Oreochromis niloticus: one gene and its partners. The protein of the gene in region 1 purifies or fractionates together with the protein of each later gene. This does not show direct contact. Links are inferred from orthologs where the notes say so. Each region holds a gene or a part of one and is shown on either strand. Other genes may lie near its edges.

What was found. Proteins that work in one complex are often made in the same cells at the same time.
Region 2: the proteins of prkaa1 (region 1) and pars2 purify together in Homo sapiens (affinity purification with mass spectrometry; 3 studies listed by BioGRID and IntAct, with this or other methods). This does not show direct contact. The link is inferred for Oreochromis niloticus from reciprocal best matches to the Homo sapiens genes PRKAA1 and PARS2.
Region 3: the proteins of prkaa1 (region 1) and usp10 purify together in Homo sapiens (affinity purification with western blotting; 3 studies listed by BioGRID). This does not show direct contact. The link is inferred for Oreochromis niloticus from reciprocal best matches to the Homo sapiens genes PRKAA1 and USP10.

The regions. Positions count from the first base shown.
Region 1 is NC_031972.2:15,617,612-15,621,365, forward strand, and holds the start of prkaa1 (5'-AMP-activated protein kinase catalytic subunit alpha-1), read left to right. Parts: upstream 1-1,004; 5' UTR 1,005-1,019; coding exon 1,020-1,116; intron 1,117-2,945; coding exon 2,946-3,087; intron 3,088-3,754. UniProt on the Homo sapiens protein: Catalytic subunit of AMP-activated protein kinase (AMPK), an energy sensor protein kinase that plays a key role in regulating cellular energy metabolism.
Region 2 is NC_031981.2:3,038,187-3,041,940, forward strand, and holds the start of pars2 (putative proline--tRNA ligase, mitochondrial), read left to right. Parts: upstream 1-1,350; 5' UTR 1,351-1,532; intron 1,533-2,238; 5' UTR 2,239-2,257; coding exon 2,258-2,581; intron 2,582-3,151; coding exon 3,152-3,397; intron 3,398-3,500; coding exon 3,501-3,754. UniProt on the Homo sapiens protein: Mitochondrial aminoacyl-tRNA synthetase that catalyzes the specific attachment of the proline amino acid (aa) to the homologous transfer RNA (tRNA), further participating in protein synthesis.
Region 3 is NC_031965.2:21,778,117-21,781,870, forward strand, and holds the start of usp10 (ubiquitin carboxyl-terminal hydrolase 10), read right to left. Parts: upstream 2,278-3,754; 5' UTR 1,993-2,277; coding exon 1,972-1,992; intron 1-1,971. UniProt on the Homo sapiens protein: Hydrolase that can remove conjugated ubiquitin from target proteins such as p53/TP53, RPS2/us5, RPS3/us3, RPS10/eS10, BECN1, SNX3 and CFTR.

The sequences.
Region 1 (3,754 bases):
ACAACTATGAACTGGATTTGCCATGTTGCAGAACTGAATAGTATAGGGGAAAGAATGGTGCATTATATACTTACTCCAACACAATCGAGCCATATTTACTGATCTTCAGGCTATGACTCATTTCAACGTGATTTTCCAGCATAAATTATGGACCAGGAGTCATATTTCAGCAGAGTTTGCTGATTCATTCGCCACATTGAGCTTTCTGCTTCCAAACAGTGCTGTGCACTATCTACATTAAAATGCTCCTTCACTTGTACACTGTGCCTTAAGTATAAACCTACAAAACCTGATTTTGTCACCAGGCAACAGAAATCTGCGCATACAATAAGCCTGTCTAATTTGCCCTTGCTGAAGCGGCATTTAATGTAATTTGGATAGTTTGGACTGGAGTGCAGCTTTTGTTTATATACTTTTTATGAAGTTAACAAGGCATTGGAAATATATTTGAGACGATTATGAGAATGGATTCTTATGAAACATAGTTCACTGTATTAATGTATTTCATGCTGTATGAACTATGTAACTCCCTTTATATAATCCTGATGGTATTTTGTCAGTTCTTAAAATCTTTTTATGTTGTATTTAGACAGATAAAAATAGGGCCCCAATAAGGGAGCAGCCAAAAATCCTTTTTTCATATTGGCAGAAAACTGCTGACTTTATCCAGAGTTTCCATAGTATTTGATTGGGCACATCATAATTTATCTATCTCATATATGTCTAACGCACATTTTCTCTCCTTTCACTTCCTGACCCTGATTTAGCCTATACGATAGATTTTCCGGCCAAAACAAGTTTACAACGTGAACTTCACCCAGATTAACAATTTCGGAGTTTATTGAGAGCATTTAAATGCAACATGTTACGTCGTTGACGATTTTGACGAATCGCACAGGAGCCGGGACGCCTCCCACCCTCAGTGTTGAGCGGAGCCGCTAGAGTGGAGAAACACATAGCGGAGTCCGGTCCATCTCTACCGCAGCTAGCTAACCCCGCAGCAAGGCCATTGCGGGAAGATGGCGACGGAAAAAGCGAAGCATGAAGGAAGAGTGAAAATTGGACATTACATTCTTGGAGACACTCTCGGAGTGGGGACGTTTGGGAAGGTTAAAGGTATGTGTAACTGTCTCAGGCGTTTATGCATCCTGCCAGCTGCGAGACGGTGGGAGAGGGAGCTTTTAGCTTAGCTGCTAAGCTAGCATACTAGGAAAGCTAACTTGTCGCAGTGCTGGGGAGGCAACACACTTGTTGTCGCGCTATTATCAGAACTTTTTTTGTGTGTGACAAAACGCAGGTTTTAGAGCGTGTCGTTGTCGTTTCTAAGATAAACAAGACACTGGAAGTTTTATGAAATTGGCCTGTAGCTGGTCACGTAGTTTGCCATTTAGCGTCGGTTGCGTTGCGTGCTAGCGAGCGAAGCGCTTGTTGAGACATACACCGGGAAGTCAGCCCTCTTCATTGATGTTGCCGCTAGCAAGAGTACATTTTAATCGGTAAAGTACGGTTTCCTCTCTCTTGCCTTTAAACCCAACTCTGCACTACATTCATTCACAACTTCTTTTCCCATGAGTCGTATTTGTCGCCTGTTTCAAGCATTCAGTGTTAATTCTGAAGTTTAGATGGAGAGAGTTGGACAAACTCTGCTGAATCTACGCCCACTTTGTCAGTGCAGAGGGCTGAACGCTTAGAAGCTTAAGTCAATATACAACTATCAACACGCAATAGACTAAAAAAACCTGTTTTTTTTCCTGAAAAGTAATCGTGTCTGCGCGTTGCTTGTTTTGTTTACCTTACAGGCTGTTCTGTTCAGTAGAAACACTGAAACCACAATATATATCGAAATGGAGTGGAACCACCACAAGCTGTGTGATCGGTTAATTCCCAATGAGTCATCTCCCAGCTCTCAGCTATTTGTTGATGTTGAGGGAAAAGAGCTGGAGTTGGTGCTGTGTGATTATGGTCTTGATTACTACCGACACAGCTGGTAAATCAAAACCAGCTGTTTGCTAACTCCCATGGGCAAATGCGCTGTCTTCCCACCGTCCATTCAGATGTTATCTTTTTGTTTCTGGTGCGGCTTCTTACCGCTTTCAGTTATGAGGACTCTGTATTTGACCTATTTGCTCATGTATTGACTGTGTATCCCCACTCACCTTTACAGATCATTTAGCATGTGCTAGGATTTCTTTCTCTTTTTTTTTTTTTGTGGGTGACTTAATGTATTTACATTAGGTCACCCACATTAAGTCACTTTCAGCTAGAGACTTTATAAAGTAGAGATGTGGCGTTCAAAGACTCTTGAATTTAAACAGCAGATGAAGTAAGGCTTTGGTTAGCTTTGACTGATGTTTCGTAAGTATGTGCCCAATAGGTGCTGGAAGGTGTTTCAACATTGTGCATGGCAAGATTTGCTTCAAGGACTTTCGTTTCAGCATTAGATTTATCACACTCAGTAGGCAGCCAGTTTCAGCAAAAAACAAAAACAAGAGAGCTGTTTTACAGTCTTTCCATAATACCAAATGACAAAGCTATGCTGTGATATGCCTGAGTGATTGAATATGGTTGACTGAATACAAAATACTTTTTTTTTTCCATCCTTCCATTTTTTTTTTCCTTTAATTTGAATGCTTTTATTTTTTATATTGTTAAAATTGTGATAGGAAGTGGTGATTTAGATCTGCCATTCCTCACACTGACTTCACGATATTGGTCCTATTGCTGCTGTCCTTCATCCACCATGCTGCCTTCTGTTTCCAAAATAGGTTTCACCTCTAAGATTCGTAGCATGTCCGGTAACCTTTATCCTAATAGTGTAAACAACAAATTACACATTTCCTTAAGTTGCGTGAAGATGACTTGTTTTGCATAATACGTCATCCTTCCCTATTTTATATGGCCTTGGTTGTAATAGAATTGCTCCATCCACTCTTTTTTTCCTTCAGTGGGCCAACATGAGCTGACCAAGCATCAAGTGGCAGTGAAGATCTTGAACAGACAGAAGATCCGCAGTTTGGACGTGGTGGGAAAGATTCGCCGGGAGATCCAGAACCTCAAGCTTTTCAGGCACCCTCACATAATTAAACTGTAAGTCCTAGATTACACTCTGCTCACTGCTCCATAATCCCCTTGCCACTACATTAATGCCACCCACTGAGCTATTTTCAGGCTTTTATAGTGTTGTTTTAGAATACATCCATCTAGGACAGTATCTGTCTGACTCAGTCCACTCTCTCTTCTGACCTCTCCCTGTTGTGCAGTATTGACTGTTTAGTTATTCCCTCAGTTGGTCTTTCATTTTAATGTACAAAAGTGCACTGGCTTTGTCTTTATTGTGGCTAGCTGTGTAGCTTGCTCTGCTGGTATTACTGTCAACATCTGTCAGGCTAGAGCAGATAAGTGTGTCATTTCAAATGAGTAATTTTTTAACATCATAGTCTGAGCTGACTGTCCCATAATGTTCTGGTCCTCTAAGCTAAACTTGCTATCTGACAGTTGTCAGGGGATTTCCTGTTTGGTAAGGGAATGTTCACAGACTCAAGGCCACAGTTACAGGGTCATTAAACTGACCGGGGGTGTGTATAATTGCCTGAAATACCCGTTCCATGTTAAGCATGCACAAAAATGTAAGCTATGTCTGTGTGTGTCTACGCATGAGAGAGTGATTCCATCTTTGGCAGGGTACACAGACCACTGGGGCAAAGTACATAACATTGTCTGTCTAGCGGGGATAATAACAACTCGAGTAATATAA
Region 2 (3,754 bases), on another chromosome or scaffold:
CTGCTACCTCAGATTTATTCTTGCGTCTGTGTTCCCTTTATTGAAATTCATAAGAAGATGAAAATGATAACGTACTGTGACAATCACAAACATTTTGTCCCCAGAGCCTCATGGGTAGTTAGGATGGTTGTAAACTGACAGAAGTTCCTAATTTGAAAAGGTAAAGGAAAACATAAATGTTTCATTGGAGTGACTTTGACATTTATATTATAACACAGCCATCTTTCTGTCGTTTTAGGCTAGAGTAGGAAAAAGTTCACGTCACAAAGACATATCAGACCAGTTTCACCATACAGTAAAATGAACTGGTCTTCAAGTTCATTTACTCAAAAGACAGGTTTTCCAGGCACTGAGTAGTCAAATAAGACCTCTCAAGCAGCCACATCACTGGAATAACCCAGAGAATCAAAAGTGAATATTATTGTCCAGAATTCACTCTCTGTTCACAGCGTTTTCTTTTTCTTCACACAGTTTTAAAGCAAAACTTCTAACAAACACAGGTGAGAATTATACTTAGAAAAATTTGATGAATTTCAACTATAAAAAAAATGATTCAGTCCTTGTGAGTACAGCCAAAAGTCAGAAATATGTCAGAATCAGAATCAGAATCAGAAAGACTTTATTTATCCCCAAGGGGCAATTAAGATACAACAGAGCAGCATGATGATGAAGATAAGAACAGCGCATAAACAGGCAATAAGAGCGAGATAACAAATACACAGAATATACAGTATATACACAGTTTGACTGAATAAGTGAAGAAGTAACTATAAGTGAATAAAGTGTCAGCAGTATAAGAGTATAGAGTAGTTATAGTAGTTATGTAGTCATCATACATTAATTACTATTTTCTGTTCCTTTTTTTCTATGCATTGATCATTTTTACACTAAAAGATAAAAAAATCGAAAATATTCACAGAATATGTGACATATTACGTTCACATTAAAAAATTATTTACAACCTCGTCTTTTTAGAATTATTATGCAATTATTAAATAATTATTATCTACATATCCATGCTTAGATTTTATCACAAAACAGTTTGTACATTTCTCAATGTGCATGTTTGATGTATATTTTTTCATTGCAAAATATTAAACACATGTCAGTGTGCTACATACTGAACTTACATGACAGAAACAAAGTATCGATACTATCACTCTCATACTGGTGTCGATACTGTTGATATTTGGATAGACCCGCCCACCTCTACTCACTTAATCAAGTAACATTGTTATGTTGTTTGGATTTCATTCATGGCGATTGTTGTTAAAAGAGCCAGCTTTGTGACAAATCTCATCCATATTCTCTGAGTCAAAACTGCCCCCTGCTGCTGCAGTACTCCTCCGGCCCTCTAGGGGGCGTTCTCAGACAAGGGGCCTGTCGACATGTAGCTGAGGAAGAAACGCAGCATGTTGTAGTGTAGCAGGACCTTCAGTGTTTTTGCGAACTTAGTAAAAAAAATGTGGCTCTTCCTTCATTTAGTTATATAATTTACACAGGACAGTCAGACACTGGTTATCGGTCTCAAGGTGAGTCTTTCTTACTGCATACGTGATATCGCGTGCAAACTGAAGAAGGTCATTTTCACATTAGCTGCCAAGCTAACCTGCTAGCATCCATGTATCTGTCAGGGACATCAGCACTGTGAAACAGCTATCAGTCCTCTGTATTTGTGTAATAACCCGTGGCTGTTTCGGCTGGATAAACCCTACAACCTGTATATAATTACTGGGGTTAAACAACTTGTTCTCGGATATGAAATAACCTGCTACCTAAAAAAGCATCTGTGCTGATGGTTCACCCCCTTCACTGAGGTTTAATAAGCAGCGTAGCATGGAGGAAGTCCATTATAAGTGCGTGTAAAGTGTTACCACAATAAATATGAAAGAGTAAAAACTACAGTGTTCCGTGAACATATTTTCTTTTCTGTGAAAAGTATCATAAAATTGAAAAACTGGGAAATGTATTAAAAATATCTCCATGTAAACACACAGATTTTTCCTAATGGCCAGTAAAGAAGAACGAGTGCTCTGTGATGAGGATGTTTCTTCAGTGCTCGTTTTGTTTAACTAGCAGTCAAAAACTCTAAACTTAGCTGTCATATAAGCCATGAAAAAGGGAAAAAATCTCACATTTGAGGATTTTGCAGTTATTACGTGGCACTGTGTGCTAACTAGCGAGGTGAGGTCACTTATCCAGCTTCAAATGATTGTGCTATCATTTCTCTTTGAATAGCAGCACATCCTTATGTACCATGGAGCCTGTAATGCTTCAGCTTTGGCAGAGAGCCTTTCGCCGCCTCCACAGGACCCTGATCCTTCCGAAGAGGTTCGACTCAGGCTGTGCTGAGCAGGCAGCCGTCCCTGCTTCCGCGCCCTCCTGTGGTAGAAAGCCCGTACTTCTGGTGTCTCGTCTCTACCAGCCTTCGAACTTACGTGATGTGGCGCAGGACAGCCGGTTGCCAGGGGAGATGAGCTGCAAGAGCCAGAGGCTCATGCAGCAGGCTGGGCTTATTCATCCATCCAGCCCAGGGTGCTACTACTACCTTCCTGCCACCATCCGCTCCATGGAGAAGCTGGTGAGAGTGATAATAATAATAATAAAGTAATATTATTGGCTGGTTTTGTCCTGCCAAGTAACTGAACTGATAATAGTTTCTTTTTTTAAGAATTTTTTAATACTGTTTTCATTTTGTTAATTTATCCTGGGGCGTGCAAATGCTGTATGAATGTTCCTTTAGATCTTACAAATAATAACACGCTCAATAATTTGCTTTATGACAGGTTCAGAATGACAGTCATCCTCTTACATGGCGTCTATCAAAGCAGTAGTCTGTTGCCACAGGCTCTACATTAGTTTAGGTTGTGAACGTTGTCCAGACAGTCTCTTTTCCCTCTTAGATTATTGTGGATTATAAGATTATAAAACCTAATTAATCTAATCACATAGATTATATGATTATGTAATCGAATATATTAGATTAGATTATATGTTTATTGGGCTAAAATGATAAAGTCAAACAGTAGCTCTTGACTAAAGGGAAAAGGGTACAGAAATGCCTTTTTTTCTAGTTTCCTATCAATTTTTGCGTGATTGCTGATGTTTATCTTCCAACCTCCTGATTTGAACTGCTGTCTTTGATCAACAGGTGAGAGTGATTGACCAGGAGATGCAGGGGATTGGAGGGCAGAAGCTGGACATGCCCAGTTTGTGCTCGGCCGACCTCTGGAAAACCAGTGAGCGCTGGGATTTGATGGGAAAGGAGCTGTTCCGCCTGAAAGACCGGCACGGCGCTGACTACTGCCTGGGTCCCACTCACGAGGAAGCAGTGACGACTCTCGTTGCTCACCAGGCGACTCTCTCCTACAGACAGCTCCCACTGCTTCTTTACCAAGTAAGCATTCAGCCCGTTCTTACTGTCAGTGTTTTTGCTGCAACAAGCTGCAGTTTGTTTGTTTTTTCTGACATGATTTATTTTGGAAAAACCCAAAAAACAGATCACCCGCAAATTCAGAGACGAGCCAAAGCCGAAGTTTGGTCTTCTCCGAGGGAGGGAGTTTTACATGAAGGACATGTACTCCTTTGACGTGAGCGAAGAAGCCGCTCATCAGACGTACGAGTCTGTTTGCCAAGCGTATACTCGGCTCTTCACCAGGTTGGGTCTGCGTTGCGTTCAGGTGCAGGCGGACACGGGAAACATCGGCGGTAAACTGTCCCATGAGTTCCAGCTGCCGGCGGACATCGGCGAGGA
Region 3 (3,754 bases), on another chromosome or scaffold:
CTTAGAGGTTATTAAACTAAACCAAAAACCAATACAATCCCAAATAAAATTACCTTCCCACCCCAAAAATAAAATATAATCACTGAAATCCTTTAACTAGCTTTCAAACTAGCTCAACTTTACTAATAAGCTAAAATAAAGGAGCAATAATGGTATGTTAATTTGAAGTGTCACATTTGGTAGATTATGCATTAACAAGATGACTTACCACAAGCAGAACACTATCTGCCTTTATCTCCCAGTGCAGAAGAATTGATAAGCATTTCCAGAATTACCTGTTTGCTAAACTTCTACTCAGAAGACTGATGTCCCTTCTGGTGCTCATGTGTCTTTTACTGCCTCACCTGTTTATCGACCAATTTTAGCCCCAGTGTTAGTATTTTTACCCAGCAATTTCACAGAATAAATCAACAGCAAACCTTTCAGTCGCCTGCCTTCTGTGACTACTTTACAGAGGGATAGCTATTAAAATGAGGGGTTTTGTAACAGAGTAAAAGTGGTGACAAACAGAGGAAAGCAGACCCAATGAAATAGTTGATGATGCTCCAGATCTGCTGGGTTACCGTTGCTGTGGAGCACAGTCTGGAAAACACTAATTTAGAGCGTTGGTGAAAGCTTCCATGCATTACTTTTCACTCTATGCTATTCATACTAACAAAAACCAAAAGATACTATGCAACTCTGTATCGGTCAGTTCAGTTATGAGAATTTATTTCAGCAAATATTGACATGTAAATTAAAAGGGATAAAAAAAAAAAGATGTTCAGCCGGTTTTCCCGTGAAACTTTCACTTTAATAAAGAGGGAACCAATAGAAACGCTCAATTTGGAAGCCAGGAAGAAAGTTGAAAGCATGCAGAATTACTTTAGTACAGCAGATTTCCCTTACTACAGTGGTTAGCCAGGTTCCGTTTCTTAATAAAGTTAGAACTCGACACTTCACTTGACTCCAATTCTGATTAATTTTTAGTATGTGAGGTTTTTCTTCTCTAGTTAAACTTTAATTCAGTCTCTTACTAGTAGACTAGAGACCTGGCGTGTTTCTGCATGTAAAACTAGACCTCAAAATGGGCCTTCCAACATGACAGCTAGCTTTTCCAGAAATAACACCAAACTCGTTAGGTTACCTCCAATCCAAGCTCAGTCACGTGGACGGTGGCTCTGTAAGCAGCGTGCAAGCTCAACCCTGATCCTCATTGTTTCCATATCAAGTAACTCTTCGCTATCAACGAAGGCCCACACTGTCGAATGTGTATTTAGCTAACTAGCTAGCGGACAGACAGCAAAGTCTAAGCACACCACCTGTGCAAAACAGTTAGCATACTAGAAGCTAAACGAGCAGCACGAAAACGTTATACCGCTCCAGAAACACTTATAAACGCCAAGTGATCGCATGCAAAATATTCCACTAGACCGTTATTATGCTTTCTGACTACCCCGAGAAAACCAATAACTTATTGGTAGTTATAAAAATAAGATATGGCAGCAGGCCTGTGGCAGCACTGAGCAGGTGGGCCATGCATACACGCAGCAGTTTTCGGTCACTTTTCTCTAAGAAATATTACATGACATTTGTGGACTATTACTTCGAAGTATCACGAACATTTGATTGAGCAAGTTTTCGTGTCGTTTAATTAAAAGCGGTTGTCATCGCCTCAAGAACTGCAACGTTAAGTACTGCTGGTTCATTTGAATGGAAGGACCTGGGGCCTGTTAGCTCACGTTACCATGCTGGTGGTATTCCAATGAGGCTTAGGGGGGGCATTAGCAAGCACTTTTTAGTACTTCAGCAGTTCAATGACACGACAGGCCAAATGTTTAAAATAACAACACACAACTGACCAAAATTAAATTATTGTGTGGCGTTAGCTTTGGTCAAAATGGTGCAGAATCAAAGAGCGATCTGAAGTCCAAAAATAAGAGACTGCACGAGTTGTTTTGGAGGCTAATGATAGCGAGCTAGCTTAGCTACCTGGTTGCTGTAAGAAGCCATGCTCCCGGTGAGGTTTTCTGTCCTCCGCTGACGAGATGAAGAATCCCCCGGGAAGGTGTTGTAGGTTTCTACTGACAGCTACAAAAGGTGGTCTACTTCGACGTCATTGTCATTTACCCAACGGTGTCCTGCCAGTCGAAAGTTTTGATCTATGTAATGCATCAGCACTTCATGCTGTTCGCCTTGCCGTCACCGCCATTTCTGTCTAGCATCTCCCTTGCTTGCTAGCCAGAGCAGCGCGCGGTCGGTTGTAACGGCAGCGTGAGCTCAGGGAGTAACGCCAAATACTTCCGATGAGTACTGATTCTAAGATTTCATAATAAAAAGGCTTCATTAATACTTTTGGTACGAATACCACTACTTACAATGATAACAATAATAATATTAACAATACTCGAAAATTTAATAGAAAAAAATTAACGGGTGCAGATGGTTGATTTTATATTTACAAAGTTTCAGCATTTAGACAGTAAATGAACCGAAAGAACAAAACCCAGTGTGGATAGTAACCAAAATTAAACTCAACTGAAAAATAAACTAACACTAAATAAAATATAATAGAATATAAAATTGCACTCCAAGATCCTGCAAAGGTTTCAAGGGATGGTGAAAAAAATCACATTCAGTGTAGCTTTAGATTGTAAGTGCTAATTATGATTGCTGATCGTTTACACTCACTGATAGGTTATCTTGCTTGTGTTCATCACAGCTATATCATATCAGATCAGATCAGATCTTAACGACCGCATAGTACCATATTATCCCAACATCACACCGCCCTCTAAGACTACAGGATTATTTGTGGTTTCTAGAGTTTCTAGAGAGTCTCTGCAGTTTTAATATTAGACTCAAAACATTTGTTTCGACAAAGCTTATACATGATAAGGCTGGATAAAGGCCTGGATAAGATGACCATGATCCTTCACTTATTCATGCTGCAATTTGCTCAGACTGCTGTAAAACAAGTAATACACTGTGGTGTACTGAGGACTTCCTCTCCAATCACTTCTTCCCTCCTCCAGTCTGTGTTTTTTCTTGTCTCTCTGTGCTCTCTTTTCTCTTATCTTTCTTCCTTTATCTTTTCAATCACCCACTACTGGTCATGGTGGATGGTTGAACCTCACTGAGTCTGGTTCTGCTGGAGGTTTCTTCCAGTTAAAAGGGAGTTTTTCTTTCCTACCATCGCAAAGTGCTTGTTCATACTAGGTTGTCTTTACATTACAGTACAAACTGCTTTAAAACAACTATCGTATTGAATTGGTGCTAAATAAATAAACCTAAATTCCATTTAATAGCACTAAATATTCAGCTTTTAATTTACATGAAAATTCTCCAATTGTCTCGTGGTCATGTCTTAAAGAAATGCACAGAAGAATCTGTTACCTATAATTACAGATTGCAGAGCAAGTTAAGAACTCGAGACATTTATTTTGAAATCTATGAATGCCTCGGCGGAAATGCTAAAAGTAATGCTATGAGTTTACAAGTATGAACGCATGCGCGGTGTGTGTTCTCATCTCAGCCTGGACGTGAATCGCATTTTTTTTTCTTTTTCTTTTTGAAAGTTAAATAAAAATTAACTTTTTATTTTAAGCACATTTTTTGTTGTTTTTTATGAACCTTGGTGGTTTAAGCTGCACAAATTCAGTCAAAACAGTGAAATAAACAGCAGCAACTACATGCACTCAAATGTAATAAAACCCCATGTGCCTTTTAAATAAGTAATGCCTTCGACAGTGCAGGACAACACCCAAACTAGTGG